4 linked regions of the Oryctolagus cuniculus genome follow. The protein of the gene in region 4 purifies or fractionates together with the protein of the main gene of each other region. This does not show direct contact. Links are inferred from orthologs where the notes say so. Each region holds a gene or a part of one and is shown on either strand. Other genes may lie near its edges.

Region 1 (7,308 bases), on a different chromosome or scaffold from region 4:
CACTAAGTGTCTGCCCCATTTCCTCTGGGCAAGCATTTCTGCATTCCTTATGTAATCAAAGCCATTGATCTGTTCTTCCACAATTTCACTCTTAGGAAGTTGAATTGTTCTTGTGCCAAACAGCTGCACCCCTCCCATGACTCATTTTATATTTCAAATATTCCCAGGAATATACTCTGCTGGCAACACTTTTTTTGAAAGAAAGTAAATGCATAGGTGTGAACCCCATTTTTTTCAGGTCAAGGAAAAAGTGACTAAAGGCTACATATGGCTGGTCTAAAGCTCTGCATTTTCTCCAGTCCACAGTGGCAGTGAAAATCTTGTTTTCCCAACCAGACTGATGATGGACTATATCAGCCAAATAAAGCAAAAGAGAACTTAAAACACATACACTAATCTAAACATTCACAAATCTTAGACGTAGAAGATACTGTACACAGACCAAAACTCTGAATGCTCAATACCAGGTAGCCCAGAGTTGACCTGCATATTTCCAAACAGAGTAAACAGCCAATTGCTAGGCTATTAAAGAGAATTTTTTTTTTTATTTCAACATCAATACTGCTTTACGTCGCATAAGCAATGTCCATTTGTTTACTTCTCAACTGTAACTGAAGGCAGGGATGGGTGATCAAGGACAATGAGAGTCTCTCCTTTTGTACCACAGAGACCTCTGCTCCCCTGGCCCTTCTGGAATTTCTCTTGCTATTAGAGACCTACAAATATGAATCATACTATGGTTTTACAGGTGACATAACTGAATAATCTAACAACATGTCTGATTGAGGAAATGAGCACCCATTCAGTCCACAGTAAGATCAAAAGGCAAGGGGGTTGAACGATGGCTACAGAGCATCCTAAGAAGAAATCTAGCCTTGGTATAGGAAGCAGTGGACATGGAAGTTCACTCCTTTGAAGAACCTAAGAAACAAATTGTCAAGATCACATCAGTAATGAATGAGACAGTCAGGAAAAGCTCTGCTGATGTGTTGGCAAGGCCTGAATAAAAAACAAACAATTCTTGGAAACAGTGAGCAAAGGAAGACACGAGGCAAAAACCAACAACACTTCCACCATTTCTGAGACTTCTCTAGGGCATTTGGACAAGGACTGATCTCCAAAGTATTTAAGATTTTCTCTTCCTTAAGTTCACAGAACATCCAAAGCTCAGACATAGTAAATTCCATTTTTAAAAGGTTGATTTATTTATTTGAAATGTAGAGCAAAAGAGCAAACAAGAGACACAGAGAAAGACAGATACTGAGACCTTCCATCTGCTATTTCACTCCCCAAATGGCCACAACAGTCTGGTGTAGGTCAGGCCAAAGCCAGAAGCCAGGAACTCCATCCTGGTCTCCCACATGCATGGCAGTGGCCCACATTCTTAGGCCATCATCTACTACCTTCCCAGGTACATTAGCAGGAAGTTGGATCAGAAGTGGAGCAGCCAAGACTTGAACCAGCACTCTGATACAGGATGCTGGCATCACAGGCAGCAGCCTAACCTGCTGCACCATAATGCTGGCCCCATACATTCCATTTTTGAAGAGAGGTTTTCCCAAACAAAGGAGGTTTAGGTCTGTCTTCACTAGCCAAAGCGTTTAAACAACTCTGAGTTGAAGACACGCCTTCCCTCAGCCCTGGCCTTGGATGTGTGCCATGCCGGGCATCTCACAGACATGCAGAGAGATATATGGAGGAACTCTGAGATGACAAGAAATTTAGGAGCTTCTCCTTTCCACCCACTGCCCCACCCTCTGGCTCAACATAATACCTCCCCACAATGTCAGTTCTCAAACAGGTAAATCCATCACCTCTCAATGGATCAAATTCCTAGAGTGGCTTCAAAATTAAACCCTCTTCCTCTCACCCAGTGTGGGAAATGACTGTACTGTAACTGCTGGTGAAGCTACCAGAACAAACAGGATGCCTGGTTTGCCTCTGTAAAAAGTCAAGATTGGAAAGAGAATTTATGAGTATGTTTCCTCAAACTGAATTTCTCATGGCAGAAATCACTGGGTTTTCTGTTTCTGGTTGAAAATAGGCGATTGAGACATGACTTCAGATGAGTCAAACTACCAGTTGAGTCATATTCCTTAAGGCTGGTGGATTTCATTTTTTTTTAATCATAAGAAAAAGAAATTTAAATCACTCTACAAACCACACCAAACACAATGTGTACAGGGACAGAAATAACAACATCCATTTCTTGTGGTACTGAGAAACTCCCAGTGAAATGAACAACACTTGGTTGAAGCACCCAGACACCGTGCATGTTACTGGACAGCAATAAACAGTAGCTGCTGTTCTTAGGGCATCTACACCAGAGGCAGTTGGGTGAAGGAGACAGACGTCAGATACTCTGAAACCTTTTTTCTCCTGCAGATACTTACTGTGTCTCAGCCCCTAGCAGCATTTCCACTTTCTCACCGGCATGGTTGCTAAGGACAGTGAGAGTGAAGAGGTGACTGGCAGAGCTCTGTCTTGAGTACAGCATTGTGGAACTGTTCTTTCCTGGAGAAGAATTAAGCTCTTCATTGTCACAAGATTCCACCAACAGCTGATCTCTTAAGGAATAATCGTTGACGTTGTAACTTTCTTCACTGAAATAGAAAAGGAAAAGAACTTGTCAATTACACATAAGACTGTGACACTGTCAGTTTCAACTAATTTTCAGGGAGAAGGTGAAAGGGGAAGGAAAGGAGCAGGATAGAATGACTTTAAAATATGAATTGGAATCTACTGATTAGGAATTAATGTATTCTATACCAATTAAACCAGTTAATTACTATGTTTATGTTTTTAACATATGGGAACTGCATCTCAGGTACGAAAGCATATTTTAAAAAATACAAAACCCTCTCTGGTTCGTGATGCATCACTTTGGAACTGCTGTTACAAGTAAGACTTGCATGCATCCTGGAAGTGCTTGAACAGGCAGGTGTACACCTCCCCGGTTCCACCTCTCCACCCAGAGAATGAAGAGGAAGCTCCAGGCCCACCAATGCCCTGGGTATCAAGGCCTCACTCTCTGCCCCAGAGGACCAAGCATAAAAGGGAAGAAGGCCCAACCTTTCCTCTCCCACACTCACCCAACAGCTGCAGTTGTTTCAGAAACCTCCAGGACTAATCCCATCATATTCTCTCTCCCTGTTTATCCTAGGACCCCCAGCACCCTTCATGCCCCAGGACCCTCAGCCCCATAGCTTGGTGAACACGTCTCACCTGGCCTCAGCTGGTTCCTGACCTCTTCCAATGCGTCCGCGAGCAATGCATTTCCTTAGAGAATCCAGTAACGTCATCTAAATCCTCAGCCTCTTTGCTGAACCCTCCTTTAACCTCACCATCCAATAACATTCCTTCTAACAGGAACTTGGCTCTTCCTGGAGGGCAACAGCTCTCTGCCTGCTTGCTTTTCATTCTGGCCTCTTGACAGTGATCACTTCCTCATGCCCAAAAGACCTATCTTTGACTCTCAAGCCATAAGCCTGTCTCACAATCACAATCATCCACAGAGCCCCTGGACCACTCCTCATCCTTTCATGAGTGTAGCTGCTGGCTCACCATCTCTCCAGCACTGTTTCGGGTTTTTTGTTTTTTGTTTTCAAGTTTTCTTTTTTTTTTTTTTTTAATTAATTTGAAAGTCAGAGTGAGAGTGAGAGTGAGAGTGAGAGAGAGAGAGAGAGAGAGAGAGAAGGAGGAGGAGGGAGAGAGACTTTCTATCCATTGGTTCACTTTCCTGATGACCGTATGGGCCAGGCTGAAGCCAGGAGCCAGAAGCTTCATTTGGGTCTCCCACGTGAGTGTAGAGGCCCAAGCACTTGGGCCATCTTCCATTGCTTTACCAGGCCATTGGCAGGGAGCTGGATCAGAACTGGCACCCATATGGGATGCAGGCACTGCAGGCAGTGGTTTTACCCACTACGCCACAATGCCAACCCCCAACACTGTTTCCTTCTATGTGGAGCTCCTTCCATCACCCTGGCTTCTCAGTCTCTAATGATCTTTTTCTCTGCCCTCTATCAGTAATCCCATTCACGATCATCCTCTACATCTTGTCACTGCCATCAGCTAGAACTCTCTCTAATCCCAGTGACAACCATACGTCTTCCTAACCTGCATCCCACTTTACAAACCAAGTCCTCTAAATGCCAACCCCAACAATTATGTAGCCTACTAGTTCCTGCAGTCATTGACCCTGCCTTTTCCTCTATCCTTATGAATCATGTCCTCTGCTTCACACACACTAAAGTGCCCAGCTTGGATTTCTTGGTGTTTAGCTCTAATCACTCCTGGCATACATGCTCAACTTTTGGGCTATACCTGACTGGCAAATCCCAAACCTGGTTAGATACAGCTATCCCTCTATTTTCCATGTCTGTACCCTTGCAGCTAAACATGGCAGAGCTTAATAAATAATTGTTGAATAGATTGATTGGGTATGTAATAAATTCTAACATATTCTAGGAATCAAATAACTACTTAACTTATTTAACAATAAATTCAAATGTATGGGCTCAGGGGAGCTAAGGGGATAGAAAAATCCTTATGCCCAGTCATACCTAACTAGGATTTCAGAACCAGCTACTTTGTTCAAGATTTCCTGCTATTTCTTTTATTCCAGGCTGGAAATCTGCCTGTCAGTCACTCTTTTGTAATTCTCCTTTCTGAAATTTATTTTCACAGATTCTACCATCACAAAACAACAAACACAGCTAACAGCAAAAAAGTCACCTTCACTTGTTTCTAGGGTAATAATCTGTATTACCTGAAAATTCACAGGACAAGATAATTTACAAACCTTTCCTGAAACTGTCCACAGACTAGCACATCCACACCCAGGATATATAAACTACTTCTCATATCCAAAATGAGACTTATCAAAGAGCACATGGAGTTTATACAAAGAGGAAGCAGGATAATACACTTCATAAACAAAAATGGTTATGCTTTAAAGAGACCACGTTTACTAGAAACAAAGAAGTCATTTTTAGCACAGTAAAAAAAAGTTGATAAGGTTGAATAGATGTCTCAGAAATTCAACTAACAGCCCAAGACTCCGGATAAAAACAAACAATAAAAATGTAAAAAGAAAATAAAATAAAAAGCATAACCTCAATAACAAGAACAAGAGAAAAAGAAGATTCAGGCTTCCATGTGACGGTCCTCTCTATACCTCCTAATTACTCTTAATTAACAGGTCAAAAGAGATGACCTGTTAGTCAAGGATAGCTGTTACTTATAATTCTGCAGCAGACTGAGAAATCTAAGTAATCTAATACTGTGAACATGGGTGTTTAGGTACACTGCATAGGTACCATAGGTATTTCCAAAGAAATGCATATGCTATAAAGTCATCTGGGGCTGGCGCTGTGGCTCAGTGGGTGAAGCTGCTGCCTGTAGTACCAGCACCATACATGGGCGCAGCTGCTCCACTTCCGTTCCAGCTCCCTGCTGATGGCCTGAGAAAGCAGCAGAAGCTGGCCCAAGTCTGCGGGCCCCTGCCACCCATATGGAAACCTGGATGAAGCTCCTGGCTTTGGCCTGGCCCAGGCCTGAGTGATAGGGCCATCTGGGGAGTGAACCTGAATATGGAAGATGTCTTTCTCAGTCTCTGTCTCTCCCTGTTTCTCTGTAACTATGCCTTTCAAATAAAATAAATAAATCTTTAAAAGAAAAGTCATATCCAAGATGACTCCAGTTCCTAAGAGTCTTCAGCATAATGTGGCTTTACCTATGAAGTCATTCCCAATTCAATTCAAGAGAAAGAGTTCACAGGAAACTTTAATAAACTAATATGGATAAACTAGGTAAGTCTTTTTCTTGCCTCTCTTAATTTTCAGAGTTCACAATTTCCCCCTGTGTTTCCTTAAATACAAACAACACTAGGGAGTATATTTCATCCTTGTTTTGCATCTTTGTCCTTTGTGGTAATCAAAGACAAAGGAGTAGTTTATTACTACGATGCCACTGATGAAGGGCTAGGGCAGTCATCGGACTCAGTGTGTGGCTGCTGTCCTCTCCCAAGTCCAGTTTCGATGATCAACTGTGGCCACGGTGCTCATGTGCATTCCCCTCAGGTTTCTATTCCCACACATCTGTGGAGCCATGTCATTTGATCAAGGAACTGTGCCCACTGTCTGCAACTAAAATATGATGCAGTGAACACATTGGCCTGTTTGTTTTTTAGGTGATTTATTTTCTATCATAAGATATCATTATTTTATCTAGGCCAGCACACTTTTGCACCACGAAATGAACCATGTAGCTGTTTAGAATCCCTTCCCTACTCTTTTACGGAATATATGTATGTGTGTGTGTGTGTGTGTATATATATATATACACACACATACACACATATTATATATAGTTATATATATAGTTATATATTTGTGTATATAGATATATATACTATACATAGTTATATATTTGTATGTGTGTATATATATATATATATAAAAAACTTGATTCCATTTAACAGTAGTGAGGTAAATTGATTATTTATCCCTGTAAGCTACCATTCAAACCCAAAGGAACAAAACCTGAAAATTAGCTCACTCTCTCTAACTCTTGTGCCTTTTCTCTCCCACACAGACTCTCAAACACTATCTCATGAAGGTTCAAAATAACCATGACTGTTTCCCCATATGAATCTGCTAAAAACTGAATGAGACTCATTCTTCTAATGCCGGCCAGCATTCAACCATCTCTCTCATCCTGACTCAGAAGCCCAACACTGTGTTAAAATGTGTGCTTGAGAAGCGGTGGGGAGAAGATAGCCCTAATGAGCTATTTACAGCCCACTTCCCTCCCCTCCACGCTCACCCTCATCCAGTAAGGACAGGGCACGCTAACCTGGCTGGGAAAGCAACCTCTTTCCTAGGGAAGCTGATATTAATCAGACTTCCCCACGTTTGTCTCCATCATCTAACAAACATATGGTTTACATAGTCTCTGAAACAATTTGGATCATGTAATTAGGAAGTTAAACTGCTCAGAAAAAGGCAAATGGAAAAACCACCTTTCCTTGCATGGAGAAGTTTATATGGAGACTTCCTTTGATTGTCTTATATGTGCTCCAAGCTTACCAGCTGCTCATCAAGGCTGTCTGCTGTGTGCAAGCAGCGGCTCCTATCAGGTGCAGCAATCAAACCAAATCTATAGAAGTCTTGCTCCATGGTGTAAACAATCATGGGTCTCCCTGATGGAACACACTTAAAGTCCTAGTAACCTTTGTTGTGATTTTTTTTTCTTTCCTTTTTCAACACAATGAAGAATTCTCAGTAGAGAACAGGATATGACGGTTAA
Region 2 (7,308 bases), on a different chromosome or scaffold from region 4:
CAGCTGGGGCTTGGGAGAAGAGAGTGACTGCTAGTTAAGCTTCTTTTGGGTGTGGGAAATAGGGAATGGGTAAGGCAAATGTTCTAAAATTGATTGCAGTGTCAGTCACACCACTCAGTGACAATACTAAACACTGCTGAATTATATACCTTAAATGGATACATTGTATGGATATGGATAAGTTAAACATAGCTCAATAATGCTATTAAACAAAAAATCCCAGCAGATTTTTCTGTAATTTAAAACTTGATATGGAAATTAGAAGTTTTAACCATAAAACTTTAGAAAAAGAAAGGAGATGGCTTTTGTCTTTTTCTATTTAACCCTCCTCATTTTTTAATTTGCAGTTGCCATAGTTTCTGAAGATAAACACTTATTTTAATCTTTCTTTTTAAATATAGGCATTGGTGGTTATATATTTTCCTCTAAGCAAAAGCAGTTCTCTAATTACATACACCTCAGAAGCTTTTTTTTTTTTTTTTAATTTTATTTATTTATTTGAGAGTTAGAGTTACAGACAGTGAGAGGGAGAGACAGAGAGAGACGTCTTCCATCCATTGGTTCATTCCCCAAATGGCTACAACGGCCAGAGCTACGCCAGTCCAAGGCCAGGAGCCAAGTGCCTCTGCCTGGTCTCCCACACAGGTGCAGGGGCCCAAGGACTCAGGCCATCTGCTGCTGCTTTCCCGGGCCATAGCAGAGAGCTGGATTGGAAGAGCAGTAGCCGGGACTACAACCGGTGCCCATATGGGATTCCGGCGCTGCAGGCGGAGGATTAACCTACTGCACCACATCGCTGGCCCCTCAGTAGCTTTTAAATAATATTTTTATTATCATTTTGTTAGAAATATTTTCTAATTTCCCTTTTCATTTTCTTCTTTAGCCCAGGAGTTATTTAAAAGTATGTTATTTCCATTTTCTGCTTAGCCACACTTCCACCTGTTTGGGGACTTAAAAATTTAACACCTTAATGATTTATAGTTCCATTGTGATCAGATTATAGACCCTCTGAGTTTTGGCTTCATCAGTGTTGCATGTACACCTATAAAAAACATGTATTCTGTATTAGGTAGAGGATTGGTGTATCAAATTCTTTTTATTTCACTTTTTTTTATCTCCTTTATTTCTCATGTGTTTTATTACTCACATGATTGAAATGTTGAATGAAAACAAATCTTCCATTTTAATTATGGAATTGTGTTAAGAAAGTAGTGTAATTGGATGAAAAAGTGTAACTACTCATTCAGTTACCTAATTGTGCACTGAATCTATTCAGCTGGTGCAGAATCTTGAGAGTGGTTAATTGAACAGCATAAATTGATGGTCAATTTTGGCTGTTATTTTTGGTTGTTTTTTATTACAAAATATTTTGAACTAACACATTTTACTTCATCTTAGTCTTAGATTGTAATTTGGAAGAGAAATTCAGACAAAGTACTAAATAAATTGTGATTATTTTAGCATAAGATGAAGTAATGCCTTGAATTTGATTAACACTAGGTGGAGTGGGGCTTAGCATTTACATTTCAACTCTAGGACCACAAATTTTCTATCCTGTGGAGTCTTATAATGTTCTTTCAATAATATTGAGCTTTGAGTACACATAAATTTTAGCTAAAATGTCAGTGTGTTCAGTTACAATGGTGAAGTAGAGCCCCTGCTAAGGAACAAAGGATTCTGTGTTCCATATTCAGATGCGCAACATTCCAGAATGAAAATTAGAGAGCCATGTGAGAAACTGCCTCAGGACAAGCCAGAGTTGTCTGATCTTTTCATACTGTCAGAGGAGTTCTGTTGAATGAATCAAATTGTTTTGTCCTGTGGATTCAGTACAGTATATGGCTTACACCTGAGACATTTGGTCTTTTTTTTTTTTTTCCCCCCAAAGATTGATTGATTTGAAAGGCAGAGGTAGAGAGAGGGCTTCCAATCTGCTGGTTCACTCCCCAAATGGCCACAATGGCCAGAACTGGGCCAGTCTGAAGCCAGGAGCCAGGAGCATCTTCGGGTCCCCCACGCAAGTGCAGGGGCCTAAGAATTTGGGCCATTCTCTGCTGCCTTCCTAGGCCATAGCAGAGAGCTGGATTGGAAGTGGAGCAGTAGGGTCTCAAACTGGCGCCCATATAGGATGCTGGCACTGCAGGTGGCGGCTTTACCCACTATGCCACAGCACCAGCCCCAGACATTTGGCCTTGAAGTTAATTAGTTATCTTCCTTGACAGGTGATTTGGGGGCTGTTTCACTTTCTTGAGTAACACCTATGCCTCAAAATCAGAGGAATTTAGTTAAGTTTTGCCTACAGCCTTGCCACCTGGTTGGCTCTGTGAACTAGCCCTTCCCTTTACTCTGTATTTTAAATAGAGTACTCTGTTCTGCATAGTTTCCTAAATTGGTAGGTGGTTTTTTTTTTTTTTTTTTTTTTTTTTTTTTTTTTTTTTTTTTTTTTTTGCCTTTTAACAACTTCATTTGTGTTTTGAAACACAGCAGCGAGTGTTTTCCCCAAAAGTATATATTAGTTTGTTAAATTTTGGGCTAACCAGCCATGTTTTCATAGAAAAGAATACCCATTCTTTAATCCTTTTCTTTTCCCATGGTGTTTTCTCTACCTAACTCTGCCAGATAAAAAGAGCAGGGGTCTTTACAAGATCCAAGAGTAGATGATGTTTTGGGTCCTTGCTCCAAGCAGAAGGTCCATTCCAGGTTACAAAAGATGTTACTTTGGGGAAGAAATTATTATTCCCTAAAATGTTTGAAAACAAGTTTGTAGGGAATTCACAGTAACAGTCTGCATTCTGTGATGTAAGTCAGCCTTTGTTCTTTGGCTCTGACTCATCCTATATTTTGGTAAAGAGAAGAGTCACCTCACAGATTTTATTCTCTTCTTTGCAGCCTGAGGAGTTGAGAGAAATCATTGAGAAGACTAGAGAGATGGAGCAGAACAATGGCCACTACTTTGACACAGCAATTGTGAATTCAGATCTTGATAAAGCCTATCAGGAATTGCTTAGGTTAATTAACAAACTGGACACTGAACCTCAGTGGGTGCCATCCACTTGGCTGAGGTGAAGAAACATCCGTTCGGCAGCATAATTGGATTGGATCTGTCAAGCTGTCAACAGGAAGATATCCTGATACTTCAGCAAGATTGAAGATAAGGTGGAAGGCAGCAGTGTAAGCTGTAGACCTGGTTTTCATCCTTACATCCCTTAAACTAGTGAGGAGAAAGTTCCCTTAGGCAACTGTGTGCACAGCTTTCTTCATTCTCTGCAAATGGCTTTTTAAAGGTTCTTGCCTCACTTTGGGATTCTAAATGGAAGCTTTCAACACAGCAGTTCCATTTTACCCTCTTAAAACCTTTTGTTTTCACCTAAATCTTTTCTGCTTGGCTATATTTCTATAAAAAAAACTTGTATGTATGTACACAATAGTCCATGTCTCATGTACTTATAAATATTGATGTCATTTAACACTTAAATGACTTCATGGGAATATTTTGAAGGGACTGTGCTTTTCTGCATTGGGCAAAAACAGTATTGGCTTAGGAGACTGGTTTAGTGAAAAGAACTTTCCTGAAAAAGAAAAGAAAAAACAAAACGGTGGCACTCTGGTTTGGAGCTACTTTGTTTAGGCTTGAATTTATTTGTATTGTCTTTTTCCTCTAACAAAAAAAAAAAAAAAAAAAAAAAAGAAGCATTCTGTTAGAAGCACCAGCTTTTTAACCCAAGCTTAGTGGCTCAGACTGCACCCCCAGCAGGCTGTAATCCAGTTAAAGGCTTACAGATTATGCTGATCTTTTATAATTTGATTTTTCTTAAATTATTACAATGATTTGATAGCCTCACTTCCTTTCTTTGATCTGCATAGTACAATAGACTATTAGATTTTTATGAATGGCATTAATATAAAACTGTGTTGACTCAAAGTTTCTTCCTCATGATGCAAATAGTTTTTTATATACATGGGAGGACATAACACATTTGACCATTTTTGCATTTTTATACATGAGCACCATAAAAGTCTATGGCTATGCTATGTATGTAGGTAATAAACTGGAATTATGTTGATGAATATAGCTGCTGTACTGTATACTAATTTTAACAGATCGATAAATGGTCATTGATAACACTTGTTCAGCATTGGAATAAAATTTTATATACATATATATCTTAGGGAAATACTATGACAATTGACTTTGAGATCAGAAGGAAAGGAAGACCTGAAAGTCACTTGAACATTTTAGGAAAATAACATTGTGAGGGGGTGGAGGGCATTTCTTAAGCACATAGAAATGAGTTTTTATCCCAATAAGGTGTGCCTGTGATGACAAGAATGGAACAGCTTGCTAAATCATAAAAGCAATGTTTAAGCTAATGGGATTTTTGTACTGTCTGTGTAGTTATAGCTCAACATTTATTACTGGCATGGAAAGTTGTAATCTTTTCAGGCCTTTAAGGATAGTGTGTGTGACAAACCTCAAATGTGAATGTCTTGATTTTATTTTTATGATGACTTTAGCTACAGCATTTCCTGCTCCCAAGCTAAACACTGGAATATACTGACTTATCACTTAATTTAACATAAGTAGTTGTTTGTTTTTAATGAGTATTTTGTTTCAGTGTGATGTATATATTTCATTTTTTTTCTCTTCCATATAATTTTATTTGAACAAATGTAAACAGTTATATGTTGCCTTTTTTGTTCACATTTGCGTAACTTAAGTTGGCTAGAGAGTGTGTCTTATTTGGAAATATTTCAAGATAATGTTCCTTAGGAAGAAAGTATCCTGGGGTTGAGGGAAGGAATATCATATATATGGTCTCTTCAAATCTGAAACACTCCAACTTAGGTCAGGAAAATACAGTGGTCACACCAGTGATTGGCTTTGAAAACCAAGGCATATACTTAGCACTTAATCGTCTCAGTTTTCCAGCTTACATTCTCTAGGAGTGATAGGTAGTCTGGCCAGCAGAATTGTCTGATCTGCCTTGAGTGTAACTGATAGGTGTTTTCAGCAGTCCTGGTAGAGTGAGGTTTCAGGCAGTCAGTGAGCGGCTGTTGTGCCCCAGCAGACAGAGGGGCTTTACTAGGGCCAAGTGCTATCAAGACTCAGACACACGGCTTTAATAAGCAGATTTTATACCAAGGTCCCTGCCATGCTATGCTTTTGGGAAGTACAAGGTAACATATTTTCAGGGTCATTAAAGTAATTCTCTCCTTCCATTGCATAGAAGAAATGTCTGTGTCTCAAACTTTTTCTAAGTGATATGGATATGCTGATATTCAACACAACCCCTAAACAAAGTGAAAACCATTGTTGCTGCCTTCCTCAAAAAAATGAGGATAAAAGCACCTTGTTGTGTACCTAGTTGTAGAGCAGCTCTGGCCAGTTCCATTTCCTGTCCCTCTATGGTCTTGATTGGAGAGCCCTGTGCAAGGGGGAATCTTAACCACTGACAGAAATGATACTAATAGCTAAGAAATATACTTGGAAAATCCAAATAAGGAAATAGCTTCATTTCCAAATTTTCGTTAAGTCAGAACAAATGGAAGGAGAATAATATTTAAACTAATCCAGATTTGCTTTCTATGAAAATCTAATGTCTGGATTGTTCCCCTTTTTTCATGTTCTAAGGAATAAGTAGTGATAAGGAATGATTTGAATGTAATTTTGCGAATGTGTGTGGAAATATAAACCAGGGATTTAGCCTTAATAAAGGTGACCTTTCTGGCATCTGTTGTTAATCTGCCTTCCAACTTCTTGCCCTGCATCTGCACTCTTGTTATTTCGAGATGTCATACTACATGCTGTATTGTACAAATAAAAGGAAAAATATATTGCAAATTTTAAAGCCACCGAGTTCGTTCTCTAGCTGTTTATGTCCTCTCCCACTCAAGGTTTCTACACAAGTGAAGACACCCTCCTCTTCAGATTTTGGCCAGAAGCAAGACCATCAGATGCTCTGAGGTGGGAGAGTAGGGGGGTATTTAATTTGTTCTTTATGTGGGGCATGCCCCCTCTTGGCACAGACTTAAATAGTTACTGTTTCTCTCTTGGTTTTTTTTTTAAGATTTAATTATTTATGTGAGTGGCAGAATTAGAGTTAGATATAGTGGATGTCTTCCATCGACTGGTACACTCCCCAAACAGTAGCACTGAAGCCAGGAACTTCATCTGGGTCTCCCATGTGGATGCAAGGCCTCAGTGCTTGGGCCATCTTTCGCAGCTTTCCCAGGCACATTAGCAAGGAGCTTGATCGGAAGTGAAGCAGCTGGGACTTGAACCAGGGCTCATATGGGATGCTGGCATTGCAGGCAGTGGCTTAACCCGCTGTACCACAACACTGGCCCCACAGTTTTGTTTGTTTGTTTGTTTGTTTTATTTTAAGATTTATTTTATTTATTTGAAAGAGTTACAGAGAGAGGTAGAGACAGAAAGAGAGGTCCTCCATCTGCTGGTTTACTCCCCAGGTGGCCACACAGCTGGAGCCACGCCAATCTGAAGCCAGGAGCCAGGAGCCTACTCTGGGCCTCCCACGTGGGTGCAGGGGCCCAAGGACTTGGGCCATCTTCTGTTGCTTTCCCAGGCCACAGCAGAGAGCTGGATTGGAAGTGGAGCAGCCGGGACTAGAACCAGCGCCCAAATGGGATGCCAGCGCTTCAGGCCAGGGCATTAACCCACTGTGCCACCGCACTGGCCCCTCTAATAAAGTTTTAACAATTAAAAAAACGAGGGCCAGCAAGGTGGCACTTTGTGTAACTCAAATAAATCTTAAAAAAAAAAAAAAAAAAAAAAAAAAAAAACTTTATTAGAGATGGACAGCTTAAGGCTATGAAGCCGAAAGGTTTTTGTGGGAGGAAGAATGTAATACGTGGACAGATTTTACCTCAAAAGCAGCCAGGGACTTGAGAACACTGAGGATAGCATGATAGTTGTTGAAAATATACAACTTCAGCATATTACATGCCTCTATTCATATCCCTTTTTCCTACACTACCACTCTGAGGACACAAATCATACTCAGACATACCTTCTTCACCCCAGTCCAGCTTTCTATTCCCGTTCCTGATCTGGTCCCTCCCCTTGGGATCAGATTACTTCGACTTCACACAGCAAATTACCTGTCTGGTGTTTGCTCTTGATTTCATTTTAACAAATGCTAAACTGGGGCTGGTGCTGTGGCGTGGTGCATTAAAGCCCTGGCCTGAAGCACCGGCATCCCATGTGGGCTCCGGTTGTAGTCCCGGATGCTCCTCTTCCCATCCAGCTCTCTGCTGTGGCCTGGGAGGGCAGTAGAAGATGGCCCACAT
Region 3 (7,852 bases), on a different chromosome or scaffold from region 4:
GAAGATGGCCCAAGTCCTTGGGCCCCTGCACCCGCATGGGAGGCCTGGAAGAATCTCCTGGCTCCTGGCTTCGATAGGCACAGCTCCGGCTGTTGCAGTCAGTTGGGGAGTGAATCAATGGACGGAAGACCTCTCTCTCTCTCTCTCTCTCTCTCTCTCTCTCTCTGTAACTCTGACTTTGAATAAATATCTTTAAAAAAAAAAAAGCTCATGAAAAAAGACCTACTAGAAAAACTAAATTGCAAAATTTTTTGCACCAAAATATACTTATCTTAATTCCTTTCTCCATAAACTTTTTGAAGTACATAAAAATTATATCCAGATATACAAGGAACTGAGGTCAAATAAGTCATACTGTCTTTTCTACAGTGACCCTATTAAATAAAACAACTAAAAAATTATCCTTCCCCCCCCTTTTTTTTTTTCCAGAGGAATCAAATTTAGTCATCCATTTGGACCTTAAAGTTCAGATCTTAGAAACCAAAATGCAGAGGCAGATGTCTGGCATAATGCTTCAGATACCACTGGAAGGTCCGCATCCCTTATCAGAGTTCCTAGGTACCAGTCCCAGCTCTGCTCCTAGTTCCAGCTTCCTGCTAATGAGCAACCTAGGTGGGTGGGGCAGATAGTACCTAAGCCATTGCCTGTGCCACTCTCATGGGAGACCTGGATTGAGCTCCTGGCTTATCGATTTAGGAAATGTACCAGCAAATGGGAGATCTGTCTCTCTGCCTTTTAAATAAATAAAACACAAAAAAAATTTCAAAAGACAAAGATTATTTTAAAAATTTAAATGTAAAAAAGTCTATCAATATAAACACAAATGGAAAAATATTGGTAAGTTTTGAGATGGGTGACATATATGTGGTAGTTCACTACACTGTGCTCTCTATTCTTATATATGTTTTTGAAAGTCTTTGAGAATGTTAAATTTCTAAAACTGTTCAGGTGTACCAAGTAGCTGTATCAAGTAGTCTTCGTAAGAAATAATTCTAGGGGCCAGCACTGTGGCGCAGCAGGTAAGGCTGCCGCCTGCAGGGCCGGCATGCCATATGGATGCTGGTTCAAGTCCCGGCTGCTCCACTTCCAATCCAGCTCTCTGCTGTGGCCTGGGAAAGTAGTAGAAGACAGCCCAGGTGCTTGGGCCCCTGCACTTGCATGGGAGACTGGGAAAAAGTCTCTGGCTCCTGGCTTCAGATCAGCGAAGCTCCGGCCGATGCAGCCATCTGGGGAGTGAACCAGCAGATGGAAGACCTCTCTCTCTCTCTCTCTCTCTGCCTCTCCTTCTCTGTGTAACTCTGATTTTCAAGTAAATAAATTATTTAAAAATTCAAAAAAAATTCTAAAATAAACCAGAAACATCAATTCATCAATAAGTTATCAGGAAACACCGAAATGAAGGTAGTCCTCAAATCAATAGAAAAACATAAGACCATATCTGCTTGGAAGTTACTGAGGAAATATTTCTAACACCATGAAGTCTATGTCTCTGTATTTTAAAATGTTATATAGTCAATGACTAATTAAAAAGATAAATTTTTAAGACGCTGGCACTGTAGCATAGAGGGCTAAGCCACCACCCACAGCACCAATATCCCATATGGGCACCAGTTCCAGTCCCACCTGCACCACTTCCAATCCAGCTCTCTTCTAATGTGCTTGGGAACACATCAGAAGATGGCCCAAATCCTTGGGTCCTTGCACCCTCGTGGGAGACCAGGATGAAGCTCCTGCCTTCAGTCTGGCCCACCCCTGGCTGCTGTAGCCATTTGGAGTGAACCAGTGGACGGAAGACTTCTCTGTCCCTGCCTCTCTAACTCCACCTTTCAAATAAATAAATAAATCTTTTTTTTTTTTCAAAATTAAAATTTTATTCTTAGAACTGAAAGGCACAAATTTTCTTTCCTTTTTTTTATTTGACAGGTAGAGTTATAGACAGTGAGAGAGAGAGACAGAGACAAAGGTCTTCCTTCCATTGGTTCCCTCTCCAAATGGCTGCCACACTGGCGCTGCGCCGATCCAAAGCCAAGAGCCAGGTACTTCCTCCCAGTCTCCCATGCGGGTGCAGGGCCCAAGCACTTGGGCCATTCTCCACTGCCCTCCCGGGCCACAGCAGAGAGCTGGACTGGAAGAGGAGCAACTGGGACTAGAACCTGGCACCCATATGGGATGCCGGTGCCGCAAGCGGAGGATTAACCAAGTGAGCCACGGCGCTGGCCCCTGGTACAAATTTTCTAGTTTAGTGGTTTGCAAACTTTTAGAGATATCCCAGCCACTTTATCTATCACTACATTTTATGTAACAGGGAGTGTATACAAAACACACAATTCTGTTTTTAAAAAGGATCTAGTTACCTAACAAAAAAAGACTTAAAACCCACTGTTATATTTCACCACTCACATTCTACAGTTCTAGAAAAGGTTAAAAAACATGTGTAATATCATTCAATTAATGGTAGTGTCAAGAACTGAATTTGGGGCCTTGACTATTTATCCAGTCTCCTTTAAAACAATACACCACCTCAATCTTTAGTATGAATAAAATTCTGTTTCAATGTTCTTGTCTGCAAAATAGTTATTAAAAAAAAAGATCATCTCTGAGATCATTTTTCAGATCTAAATTTCTGGCTCCATAAATGCCAAGCTTACACAGAGTCCTATATTAAGAGAATATTCTTGAACATAGCAGAAACACCCAAATATTCCTAAGGATGCCAGAGAAATACAAATCAAATACAGAAAATAAGCTGCTAATGATTCCGTCGCTGCTTTCTGAGTCCTGAAACTTTCTGCAACTTCTCCATCTTTTAGCTAATGCAAGAATATGAAACACTGTTCTCAAAATGACTGAAATAATTCTACTTAAAGTGGATTATTTTTGGTTATTAGATAATTCTAGAAAGGATACTAGCCTAACCATGATAAGCATCATCAACCATGAAGATGTTCAAACTGCCACATAGAAAATCAAGTACATATCATTCTCTTAAGTTTAAATAATTGAACTCAGAGGAGCATAACCAGCTGACACATACGGTCACAAATAAAGTTTTAATTCCTACCTATTAAAGCCTGAAAGAGGTTGCTCTGAAATATGTTAATAACCCGTTCTATGGAACTTCTGAGATGTCTGTCTTCAGTTTGGCTTAGTTTCAAACGATATTCTTCCAAAAGGTGCAAGGCTCTCTGGGTATCTGAGAAAAGAAGAGACTGATTAAAAGTGTATACATATTTACAAACTTTGCATGCTAGTGCACATGATTCCGCAAGGCATCTGAGCAGTTCTGCAATTTCTCTAGGTCAATCAACGGCAAAATGCTCATGTACACCTGTTCTCCAAAATGATCAGAAAACTGTTGGAACATGCATCCCAGTAGCAAAAGGAAGGAAGGAAGCAGTGTATAACAGATATGTACTGTTAGTCTGTCACAGTGAGAGTGTCTGATGCAAGTATTAGCAGCACCGTTTCAGATTACCTGATAAGCAAAAGCAGATTATCTACAAGTTGTCATTATACTTCAAATTTTAAGCGTTTCAAAATACTACTCTTAGCATCCCACAGCTGCTCACCCAATAGTGTTTACTAAGAGTGATAAAGTGAAATACTGAAAACCAATTCAGAGCTTTTTTTAAAGGGGCGGGGGGGGGGGCGGGACTAACTGCCTCTGGAATTTACTAGAGGAAGAAGAGTTGAACAGGTGTCAATCTTTGAAATGATGTGAGGCTTAGATTCCCCAAGCAATGACACTAGCTCCACAGTGTCTCGTCAAAGTTACACAAAGATTTTCAACACAGCAATCACAAAACTGACATCCACAAGAGTGTTCTGAAATAAATCCTCACCTTGCTTCCGGACCGGCATTTTTCTCCAGAATCAGGAAGCCCGCACACACCTTTGCAAACACAGAACGGAAAGAGAGGAAACAAAACAAAACTGAAAAATAGAATCGAGCAGAAACTAGCATTTCCTCGTTAAATCTCCAACCGAAAAAAAAAAAAAAGCCCTATTATCCAAAGCCCCCCTTCCAAAGTTTTCCCAAGTGAAAGGAACAGCCTCAAAACCCAGCAGTGTCAGCCCAGGTAGAAAGCGTTCTCCTCGGGGTGGATCCCCCCGCCAATGAAGACCAGACAATCAAGTCGGCTTCCCAGTTCTCTACAAAAGCTTCCCCCCACCTTACAGAGCACACTACCTGCCAGGCCGAGGGGCCGCCTCCCCACCTGCCCCCGGGGGCGGTGGGTATAGGGGCGCTCCGACCCTGGGCCCCTAGGGCGCCAGCGGCACCGAGCGCTCGGAAAAGGGACCCAGCCCTGCCCGAGCCCCCTCCTCTCGCTTGCCTTTCTCCTTGCTTGTTTCCTCCGGGCTACTCCGGCGGGGTCCGGACAGGGCAGCGGCCGCTCTCCGCGACGCCCTCGCGCCCCACATGCACACCTCCGCGGGCCCCCACACCTGCGGCGCTGCCACAAAGTTCCCGCGAGCGGCGTGCACTCGGAGCTGGGGTGCGCTCCGGGCCGAGTCGCAGCAGCTCCCCCGCCCAGCCCGGCTCCACGTACCCCCGCCCCGCCCGGGGCTCGAGGAGCTGAGCTGAGGGGGTGAGGGGACGGGGGAGGAGCTCCCCTCGGCGGCCGCACCCCCGCTGCCTCGTCCTCCTCCTCGGCCGCCGCAGCCGCCGCCTCCTCACACGCCGCGGCCAGCTAACCCGCTCGCCCTCTCGCTTGCTGGCCGCCCCACCCCCGGAACCTCGCCTCCTTCCGCGCCCCCGGTCGCTCTCCCCCCAAACTTTCCGCCAAGATGGCGGCCTCGGAGCTGGACTGCCGCGCTGCCACGTGACCGCTTTCCCGGCGCTCGCAGCCAATGGGAAGTGAGGAGGCGGCTCGCGCCCAGCCCCGGGCTCTCAGCACTGCTACCTTAGGGTTGAGAAGGGGAGGAGGACCGGGAGGAGGCTGGGGAACGCGAAGGGGGGCCCGGGGAGCATCCCGAGTGAACCTCCTCGCTTAAAGGGGCGGCCGCCCAAGAGGCTCGGAGGACAAAGGAGTTGACACACGGACTCTACAGGTGGTCCGGGGTTGCCCCTTTACCTCGCTGCACCCCACCGTGTGCCCCGCGGTTCTGGAGGTGCAGCGTGCGGGACTGGAAAGGCTCGGGGTCTCTGAAGACGGACGCGACCCCATCTACACTGGGTCCCAAACGCACATGCCGAAACACCCCTTAACCTGACCAAACACGTGCTCCACCCAACTCCACGACCGGACAGGGCGCCTGGCGCCGCCGGGGTGCCTCCTCAACTGCGCAAACCCCACTCGGGGAGGAGCCCACGGCGCCACCCACGTTAGGGGGCGGGGTAGCCGGCGCTTGGGAGAGGAGAAAGGAGGGGTGGGGAGGGGCGGGGGTGCCCTCTCCAGGCCACCTTCCCCGTCCTACTGATTGTCTAGAAGTTATTATGCGCCCCACTTTAAAGGTTTGAGACTTTTTCATTAAAGAAGGGCATGCGCAGTAGGGAGACCGGGAAATGTGGCACGAGTTTGAGGCTTTCAATAGAGGATATTTAAGTTGAGGTCTGGGTCCCAAGTCTGAGCGCACTGAAGGGTGACGAGAGAAGGTTCCTCGTTCACTGGCTCATTCCTGCATTCATCCCCCCAAGCCTGCCGTCCCCGCCCAGCCAGCACCTCAGGCGTGGCTCAGGCTCTGGAGGCCCCTTTAAGACCTCACCTCCGCCGGCCCGGCGCCCTTCAACTTTCTCGCGCACCTCGGAGCGGAACCGCCGGCCCGCTGGAGCCCTGCGGGCGGCAGAAGGGGAGGTACTGAGCGCTCCCCAGGTCACTGCCAGGTCTTCCGCTTCTTCTGGGGAAGCGGGACCTCCCTGCGCTGAGGTCCCGAAGGAAAACTTGACCAGAGTTAGTGACAGAGCTGGAAACCGGGAGATTTCTGTCCTTTGACCGGAACACTCTTCCCGGTGAACCCGACTGCCTTCCCCTCACACTGTGGCCATTGGCTAATAACGGGGAGTCCCGGGAGCCTCGTACCGTAACCGCAGCTGCGGCTCCGCGCTGCTGACCCCTGGGTTTCACTTTCTGATGCACCTTGGAATCCTAACTGGGGAGACGCCGAACACACTAGAGATCATCCAGACCCACTCTCTCGGTCTTGATGAAGAGACTGAGCTCCACAAAGGGGAAGCAAGTTGCCCGAGGACACGCAGGCTCTTCGGTGACAGAGCAGACCAACAACTCGGGGCTTCCCTCTGCAGGCCAGGGCTCTTTCCACCAGGCTTTTGGAGAACTTGACAGCGTCGTGTTGAAATATGAGAGAAGAGGAAGGAAAGTTTGCTGTAACCCTTGATACTACTCATGATTCACATATAAAGGTGCTTCCAAAATATTAATGGAAAATAGAATTAAAACATTGTAATGCCAAAAATGATACTTGCACATTTTCATAATACCCATTTGCCATGAACTTTTTGAAGACCCTTGTTTGCATGGATTTCAAAATTGTTTACGCCAAATAAGCTTATCTTTTACTTCTGTTTTTCACAAATCTTCTGATTTTCTTAAAAACTAATTTTTATTTATTTTATTTGTTTAAAAGACGAGAGGTAGGGAGGAGTAGAGAGAGATCTCTCATCTGCTGGTTCACTCCCCAAATGCCAACACCAGCTGGGGTTAAGCCAGGCTGAAGCAGGGAGCAGTGAACTCAATCTAAGTCTCCCATGTGGTTGTCAGGGACTCAAATACATGAACCATCACCTGCTGCCCACCCGGGTGTGCATTAGCAGGACGCTGGAGTCAGGAGCAGAGCCAAGACTTGAACCCATGCACTCTGATATGGGATGGGGCTGTTCCAAGTGGGTCTTAACCACTACACCAAATGCTCTCTCTTCACAAATCTTTCAAAATACTCTCACGTGTGCGCTTGCTAGGCAATGGGGAGAGAAAGAAATGAGACACAGGATCTGTTCTCAAGGATCCACAATCTCATGGCTGATAAACAAAAGCCAGTACAACTTTCCCAGAAGCCAGAAAAGGGGTCAAAAACAAATTGTGTGAGGATGAGGAGAAAAATAGGGCATGTTATTTATCAAGTCATCTACTGTGACTACCCTGTTCAGTTGTCAGGAGTGCCCAAAAGCAGGACTGGACCTCACACTAGCCCGAACTTAGGGCCAGGAAAGGTTCTGGCCACGTGGGAAGCATCATTACTCTTTACTCTCCTTTCTATCTGTCTGAGTTATTGGTTGCCACAGAACAGATTCCCCAAAGTTGAGTAGCTTAAAACTTAGCATGGGGCCGGCACTGTGGCATAGTGGATAAAGCTAAAATCTGCAGTGCCGGCATCCCATATGGGCACCAGTTCAACTCCCAGCTGCTCCACCTCTGATCCAGCTCTCTGCTATGGCCTGGGTGAGGAGAAGATGGCTCACGTGCTTGGGCCTCTGCGCCCGTATGGGAGACCCAGAAGAAGCTCCTGGCTCCTGGCTTCAGATCGGCACAGCTCTGGCCATTGCAGCCATCTGGGGAGTGGACCAGCGGATAGAAGACTCTCTCTCTGCCTCTGCCTCTCTGTAACTCTGCCTTTCAAATAAATAAATAAAACTTTTAAAATAAATAAATAAACAAAAAGATCCTATAATGAGGGCCAGTGCCATGGCACGACAGGTTAAAGCCCCAGCCTGCAATGCCAGCATCCCATATGGGAGCCACTTCAAGTCCCAGCTGCTCTACTTCCGACCCATCTCTCTGCTATGGCCTGGGAAAGCAAGAAGATGGTCCTGGTGCTTGGGTCCCCTGTACCCGCGTGGGAGACCCAGAAGGAGCTCCTCACTTCTGGCTTCAGATCAGCCCAGCTCCAGCCTTTG
Region 4 (8,070 bases):
GCCAGCATTGTGACACAGCAGGTTAAGCCACCACTTGCAATGCTGACTTCAGAGCATCCATCCAACTGCACTGCTTTTGATCCAGCTCTCTGCTAATGCACCTGGGAAAGCAGAAGATGGCCCAAGTACTTGGGTTCCTGCCCCTCTGTGGGAGACTTGGAAGGAGTTCCTGGCTCCTGGCTTTTTGCCTGGCCCAGCCCCGGCCATTGTGGCCATTTGGGAAGTGAACCAGTGGATGGAAGATCTATTTCTCTTTCTTCATCTGTCATTCTTTCAAACAAACAAACAAAAAACTTAAAAAAGAAAAAAAAAAAAAGGATATTCTGCACCCCAATTCCAGAGGCTAATCAGTTCAAAATTTTAGTAAATGTGAATCACATTTACTTACCTCTCTCACGGCATTGCAGAACTCACTTTGAAGGACTCTTTGTAAAGCCTGGAGTTTCTGCGGTGGTACCTCCCCACTTCTCTGCAGTTTTTCCAACAATTCAATTGCTCTACAAATATCTAAAGTTAAAAAAAAAAAAAAAAAACTGATAGATAATTTTCTCCAAGGATTCTCTATATGCTCTATATGCCTATGTGACAGTGGAACAGTATTCATTTCTCAAGGACTAACAAGAAATATATAGAAGACAGAGGGGGAAAGTGTGCATATGCACATATATGGGGAGGATTTGTGTGGCTAAGTACGTACATGGCAGGTGGGAATGCAAAATCTGAGAATGCCACATTTTAGAGTACATTAGGAAAAAATACATGTTGCAAAAGGTAGAAAATCCAGGAAATGGAATCTTTTGAGATAGGCAAATTGAAAATAAAAAACTGAATATCACCAGAAAGGACTGGGGCTCAAATGTGATAGAGCCTGTCCTGCTTCAGAACAGCTGGCAGTACTCACATTACCAGGAATGATTTAGTCAATAAAAATTATTAGCATCCAAAGCATTGAACAGGATAATTTTCCTTGTGCTGGTGAAATCACTATTCAATTCCTGACTGAAAACATGACACATATGTAGATGCAAAATATTCATTAACAGGTGTAGTTAATGGTAGGGAGCCGATTAAAACAGTACAAACAAAATTAACTGCTCTGCTTTCAACTTAGGATCAATGTATTAATTCAGGTAAGTTCAATCAAATACATGCTTACAAAATAGAAAAATAAAAACTCTATGACTGCCAATTTCACCTCAACACTATCTGTATATAACTGGGCAAGCCACTTAATGTCTCAGTGTCTCAGTTTCTTTTGTACTGTAAGATGGAGACAACTGTATTTTCCTAAGAGTTACTTGATGACTGAAACAAACAACAACATGAAAAAGGGCCTAGCATGCATAAATGTAATTATATGGGCACCAATTACTCACAACACTAAGAGGCTGAATACATTTATGCAAATGCATTAAGCATGCCGGTCAGTTCTCATTGGGAAGTGTGAGGATACATGCTTACGAATTCAGAAGTTTCAGAGTCAGACTCATGTTCCAATACTATAACTACCTCTATTCTGACTTTTTTTTCTGAACTGCTTTTGTACCCCAGTGGACCAGAGTATTGGCTATTATTCCTTTCCTGTGTCCTGACTGAAATGGAAGAAGTTCCTAATTTCATGTTATACCTAAGGACTGAAGAGTCCTCTTCATAGAATATTGCCTTCTTTGTATTTGCAGCTGGAAAATTATGAATACATGTAGTAAAGAAGGAACGTGGTTTTTCAATTTCAGATAATAAAATCTTACACTGATGTTTATCAAATGCAATGATTTCCTACCACCAGAAAGGCTAATAATGGAGATAGTTGGTTCACCAATTATTTGCAAAGTTATAACACATGAGCCATGTAAAAATTTTAAATTAACAAAAAAATTTAAGAAAGTAGAACACCCTTTACTAAATCTACAATGTATCTGATAAGTACTCAAATTCGTTTTCTAGTGAATCACGTTTTGATGATTTAGAGGGCTCTTGGGATCTTGATCACAGGCATTAATTTTATAAGATTATTGCAAGCGTTTGTTAGTAGACTCTGATAAAATTCTACATACAAGTTGATGAAATCTGACTTCATCTTGATAAATGGAACCACTACTAACTTATTTCTACTATAGTGCTGAGAATTCTATTGTAGAACTATAGAAACTTGGAAAACAAAACACAAAATCATCACTAATTCCAGAAATGGAGTTCTACATTTCAAAATACACAAAAATTTAATTCTATTTCTAAATATGATTAATGAAAATTAAAAAAAAATGATATTAACAGTTCTATTGGGGCCAGTGCTATAGCGTAGCGGGTAAAGCCACCACCTGCAGTGCTGGCATCCCATATAGGGGCACCAGTTCTAGTCCCGGCTGCTCCACTTCTGATCCAGCTCTCTGCTATGGCCTGGGAAAGCAGTAGAAGATGGCCCAAGTCTTTGGGCCCCTGCACCCACATGGGAGGCCCAGAGGAAGCTCCTGGCTCCTGGCTTCCGATCAGCGCAGCTCCAGCTGTTGTGGCCATTAGGGAAGTGAACCAATGGATGGAAGACCTTTCCCCCCTCCTCTCTCTCTCTAACTCTGCCTCTCCAATAAATAAATACATTTAAAAAATTCTATTTACTGTGGAATCAATTTTTAAAATCTCATTTAAAAACAATATTTTCCAAACAGTACACCAGATTTGGTACTAATTTTAAATTAAAAAAATAAGTTTGCCTTTAGAGTATGAAGATTTACTGCCCCTGAAAACCTTCTGGCCCTTAGTTCTATAGAAAAGTTCAAAAGTGTTTAACAACTATAAATTCAAAATGAATATCACATTTCTTTCCACATGAGCTAGAGGCTCTATGTATTTTCTAATTTCTGTCACACATTTTGCACTGTACTTAAAAATACAAAAATATGCTAACTTAGAATCCTACAAACACCTTTCATAGAAAAATACCTCCTCCTGTTAACACCAAACAGATTTGTTTCTATCTACAAAGCACAATGCCATTGCATTCGCAAGGAAGATGTACAGTCTTAGGTCTAGCTACGCCCCTGTCATAGAGTGCTGCTTTAATTAACAGCCTGGTGGGCTGAACAGTAACAATCTCATATACAAAGAGGCTTCCAAATGGTGAACACCATAAGGAGTAAATTTACAATTGAAAGTACACATTTGTTTGTGGGATGATATGACAGAAGTACAATAATTCTAAAAATGTATATTGTTGTTAGAGGATATTAATAACTATAACTGCAAATTTGACCAAATGTGACAATGTGCAAAATAATTTCAATTTCCACTCTATGCTTTGTTTCCCAACAGTATTCAAAATACTTACCTTGTACTTCTTGATTATTTTCAAGGATTCTAATGCTGTTGTGTTTAAAATCTGCTTGAAAAAAACGATTTGAGGAGGATGCAGGAGTGGAATATTGGAAATCTGTATCAGGAAGCTGGTAGGGGCAGAGTCGGGTATTTTCACAGGCCGATTCCTCTCTACATTACTCAGTGGAACAGGTTTTATTTTCCTTCACAATCTAAGAAGCAATCAACCTGCCACAGTTTGCAATTGTAGTGTTTGTAAAGAAAGCATAACATGGCACCTGCAAGTGTCACTCACTATTCCATCTAGTTGTATAAACTTCCCAAGATCAAGTCAGTAGCATCGTTCTTAAAGCATCCTCTCCTTTACTGAAAGGAAAAGCAAAGCTAGTTTCCAAACACAAGTGACGCTGGGGTGAAAGCAATGCGGTTTGTGCACTAAGCGGGGCACTGGAGGAGGTGCCGTGTCTGCTAAGTGTGTGATATGTGGGTGAAGGCGGGGACACGGGGTTTTGCGCGTGCATGGGTTCGAGTGTAGTCGGTCGGAACACAGCGTGTGACGTTTGCTTTTAGAGCTTACAGGTCTCCAAATGCCGCGTCTGCTGTGGCCACCCATGGAGCCCATGTGCCGTGCCTGTATGCGAACGCGGGCAAGGTTGTGTTTAACAGTGCTAAACACCCGGACAGTCCGTGCTGAACAGAGCGGGGCTGGATATCAATCAAAAGACCTTAAGCTCACTCCCGGGAGCCGCGCACAGCGACGTAGACGGTTGCATGCGCCAACACCATGGACGGCCTGGCTCTGGATCTCGGGACCTAGACCTTCCCTCCTCACTTCCAGCGACACGGCACTCTCACATACCCTCCACCCACCTCCGTCCGGACCCTGGCCGCACTCACCCCTTTCTAGCCGTACAGGTTCCCCCAGCGCCGCCATCTTCTCTTTTAGCCTGCAGACCCACAGGAAATGACGACAGAGGCGCTGAGGCAGGGGCGGGGCCTACCGGAGCCGGAAGGGCGAGGACTAGCGGGTATCGCGAGAGCAGGCGGGTGGCGAGGTGCTTCCCGGCGCTTCCAGTGTAGGTGTATTTGCGCGTGGGAGTTTAAGGTAGGCTTCACTCCTTAGCTTCTGGTGTCGACCAACTAAGATTAAGAAAAGCCCCTTTCCCAACTCTAACACCTTGGTACAGGTTTCATACCTCTTACTTGAAACCCTTGGCTTCACCTAGGATAGAGAAACGGCTTCAGAGAAGCAGAACCAAAAGACTATAAATAGCTACGTACAAAGAGACTTACCCTGAGGGATTGAGTGGCTCGGGTGATTGTGCAGATTTGTTGTCCGAAAGCTGGAGACCCAGGAAAGATGGGGATGTAGTTCCAATCCAGACTCCAAGGCCTGAGCCCAGGGAAGCTAGTGTTGTGAATCTTAGTCCGAGTGTGCAGTCCTGACAAGGAATTCGGAAAAGATGGATATCTCAGTTGTCTGAAAGACTGATTGGATGATGCCCACCCACATCAATGAGGGTGATCTTAGTTTACTGATTCAAATGCTAATGTCATTTAGAAACAGCCTCACTGACCTAGCATCTGAGCATCCCGTAACAGTCAAAATGACACAGCAAATTAATTATCAGCATTTTTCAGGGGAGCCCATGCAGATGGCTTGCAGAGTGGTGGCTCAGTCACACTGGAGCAGGGCAGAAGACTAAATGGGATGTCACCAAGAAAAAAAAAATGAAATTTGCAATTCACCAATGTGGATGACCATTTTTAAAAATTTTTATTTTCTTTATTTGAAGACAGAGCGACACAGGGAGAGAGAGAGTTCTTCTTCCTGCTGGTTCACTATCCCAAGAAGGCCAGAACTTCATCTGGGTTTCCCACAACTTCATATGGGTGACAAGGATCCAAGTTCTTATGCTAGCATCTTCTGACTGCCCAGATGTATTAGCAGGAAGCTAGATGGGAGGTAGAGCAGCCAGGACTCTCCTCAGCCAGTGCTCATAGATCCGATACAGGTGTCAAGCTGTGCCCCAATGCCTGTCCCTTGGCCATGATTATTTTTAAAGTTTTGTTTGTTTAGTTATTTGAAAAGTTAAGTGACAAAAAGATTTTTTTGCCCTCTAGTTTACTCCTTAAATGCCCACAACTGCCAGGGCTGAGCCAGGCCAAAGCCTGGAGACAGAACTCAATCCAGGGCTCTCACATGGGTGGCAGGGACCCAAGTAATTGAGCGATCATCTACTGCTTACTAGGCGCATTAGGAGGAAACTGGATCCCAGGCACTCTAATATGGGGTACAGTGTCCCAAACAGCTTGCTCCATGGGTGACCATATTGATACCACACAAACAGTTTTAGTGGAGAGTTCAGGGAAGAACTGGTGACAAGCACATAGAAACTTAAGCAAATGGGGGTAAATGAAATAATTATTAATACTAAAAATCTAAAATGTTGGATGAGGAAGGAAATATAGAATACAAAATAGATTAACTGCATACCACAAAGTGATGGAAAGTACAGAGGGTGATAAAACACTTTATTTTTATTTAGTTGTAAACCTTGTAATGCTATTTGATGTTTTAAAAGAATAAATTTTAATAAAAATGAAACGTAATGATAAAATTAATAACCAGAATATTGTATAGTGTTTAATATATTTTGAAATCTTCAACTTTTATTAGCCTTGTATGTATTTATTTAAGATTTATTTATGGGGCCAGCTCCATGGCACAGTAGGTTAATCCTCTGCCTGCGGCACCGGCATCCCATATGGGCGCTGGGCGCTGGGTCTAGTCCCAGCTGCTCCTCTTCCGATTCAGCTCTCTGCTGTGGCCTGGGAAAGCAGTAGAAGATGGCCCAAGTCCCTGGGCCCTTGCACCACATGGGAGACCTGGAAGAAGTTCCTGGCTCCTGGCTTCGGATTGGCACACCTCCGGCCATTGTGGCCACCTGAGGAGTGAACCAATGGACGGAAGACCTTTCTGTCTGTCTCCCTCTCACTGTAACTCTATCTCTCAAATAAATAAATAAAATCTTAAAAAAAAAAAAAAAAGAGATTTTTCCATCTGCTGGTTCAGTGCCCAAATGGCCACAAAGAGACTGGAACTTTATTCAGGTTTCCCACTTTAGGAGACAGGGGCCCCTGCACCTGCATGGGAGACCAGGAGAAGGCACCTGGCTCCTGTCTTCGGATCGGTGCAGCGCCGGCCGTAGGCGGCCATTTTGGGGGGTTAACCAACGGAGGGAAGACCTTTCTCTCTCTGTCTCTCTCTCTCACTGTCTGTAAACTCTGCCTGTCAAATAAAAAATAAAAATATCTTAAAAAAAAAAAAAAAAGAGAGACAGGGGCCCAAGTACTTGGTCTACTTACTCTCTTCCCAAGCACATCAATAGGGAACTGGGTTAGAAGTGGAGTAGCAAGGACTTGAATCAGTGTTCCAATGTGGGATGCCCATTTCTCAAGTGGTAGCTTAACTCACTGAGCCACAACATCAGCCACAGCCTTGTATTTTCAATTTGAAATGTTTGCTTTCGGGATTTGGACATAAAGGATATTAAAAATCTTGACTGCAAAAACTATGTGAATGTTTGAAAGCACAGACTTACTAGGTTTGAAGTAATTTTTAGTTATTAAACAATTTTCATTTGTTAGATTTATTAATTTGCATTATCAGATGTTTGAATCCTAGGAACTGTAGTCATTCCATGGGTTTGCTACCTTTGATTGAATACTCAGCTCTGGTTCCATCAACTGTGCGTTATGGAATAGAGGTAATGATTAACCTAGGGCTCTGATAGGACTGTGGGCAGAACATCTTCCTTTAGAAAGGGCTGAGCATTGGGACTAGTGCTGTGGCATAGTGGGTTGGCATATCATATGGGTGCCAGTTTAAGTCTAGGCTGTTCCACTTCTGATTCAGCTTCCTGCTAATGTGCCTGGGGAAGCAGTGAAAGAAAGCTCAGATCCTTGGGCCTCTGCACCTACATGTGAGACCTGGGTAAAGCTCCTGGCTCTTGGCTTCAGCCTGGCTCAGCCCTAGCTGTTGTGGCCATTTCAGGAGTGAACCAGCAGTTGGAAGACCTCTCTCTGCCTCTCCCTCTCTGTAACTCTTTCAAATAAACAAATTAATCTTTTAAAAAAAATGAAATGAAATAAAGGCTGGGCATGGCAGACAATGCATTTGGTGTATGTAGTAAAATATATTACGTATATATTTGGGGAAGACCTTTCAGTTTCCATAGGAGTAGCAACTGGACGTGGGAAAGCACTGAAGTAAATGTCAGAAGCTCTGGTTTCTAATCATAGCAGGGCCACCATGTGATAGTGTGATCTTGAGAATATCAGTCTTGCTCTAGACCTGTTTCCTCATCTGTCAACACCACTGAATAAGGTCTGTACATGAAAATTACTTAACCATAATTAATTACTGTACTCATACAGTAAGTAATATAGCATATATTTATTTAAATACAAATTCCCTTGAGCTTCATAGATTTAATAAACCAGAATCTGTGAAAAGGCCCTGGGAATCTACATTTGAAAACTTTCTTGTGATTCTAACTCAGCCAGCCTGACCTGTGTTTGGGGTTCAAAATGTGATTGTTAGGGTCTCTTCCTCCTAAAATTCTTTTTCTTCGCAAAACTGCAGAGATGTGTTATTGAGGGAATTATTTCCATTATAAAAAGATAAAGTGTCCTTGCATAAAGGGCAACATTTCTAGCTGATTTTAAAATTCATGTCAGGGGCCAACATTGTGGTAG

What was found.
Region 1: the proteins of LIN7C (region 4) and ARHGEF26 purify together in Homo sapiens (affinity purification with mass spectrometry; 3 studies listed by BioGRID and IntAct, counting the BioPlex papers as one, with this or other methods). This does not show direct contact. The link is inferred for Oryctolagus cuniculus from reciprocal best matches to the Homo sapiens genes LIN7C and ARHGEF26.
Region 2: the proteins of LIN7C (region 4) and PALS1 purify together in Homo sapiens (affinity purification with mass spectrometry; 3 studies listed by BioGRID and IntAct, counting the BioPlex papers as one, with this or other methods). This does not show direct contact. The link is inferred for Oryctolagus cuniculus from reciprocal best matches to the Homo sapiens genes LIN7C and PALS1.
Region 3: the proteins of LIN7C (region 4) and DLG1 purify together in Homo sapiens (affinity purification with mass spectrometry; 4 studies listed by BioGRID and IntAct, counting the BioPlex papers as one, with this or other methods). This does not show direct contact. The link is inferred for Oryctolagus cuniculus from reciprocal best matches to the Homo sapiens genes LIN7C and DLG1.

The regions. Positions count from the first base shown.
Region 1 is NC_091435.1:126,757,510-126,764,817, forward strand, and holds part of ARHGEF26 (rho guanine nucleotide exchange factor 26), read right to left. Parts: intron 2,604-7,308; coding exon 2,394-2,603; intron 1-2,393. UniProt on the Homo sapiens protein: Activates RhoG GTPase by promoting the exchange of GDP by GTP. Required for the formation of membrane ruffles during macropinocytosis. Required for the formation of cup-like structures during trans-endothelial migration of leukocytes.
Region 2 is NC_091451.1:13,183,029-13,190,336, forward strand, and holds the end of PALS1 (protein PALS1), read left to right. Parts: intron 1-2,889; coding exon 2,890-3,066; 3' UTR 3,067-5,849; downstream 5,850-7,308. UniProt on the Homo sapiens protein: Plays a role in tight junction biogenesis and in the establishment of cell polarity in epithelial cells.
Region 3 is NC_091435.1:83,756,105-83,763,956, forward strand, and holds the start of DLG1 (disks large homolog 1), read right to left. Parts: upstream 4,791-7,852; 5' UTR 4,423-4,790; coding exon 4,335-4,422; intron 3,893-4,334; exon of another isoform or gene 3,862-3,892; coding exon of another isoform or gene 3,843-3,861; intron 3,194-3,842; coding exon 3,062-3,193; intron 1-3,061. UniProt on the Homo sapiens protein: Essential multidomain scaffolding protein required for normal development. Recruits channels, receptors and signaling molecules to discrete plasma membrane domains in polarized cells.
Region 4 is NC_091432.1:38,876,769-38,884,838, reverse strand, and holds the start of LIN7C (protein lin-7 homolog C), read right to left. Parts: upstream 4,309-8,070; 5' UTR 4,244-4,308; coding exon 4,207-4,243; exon of another isoform or gene 508-4,206; coding exon 389-507; exon of another isoform or gene 1-388. UniProt on the Homo sapiens protein: Plays a role in establishing and maintaining the asymmetric distribution of channels and receptors at the plasma membrane of polarized cells.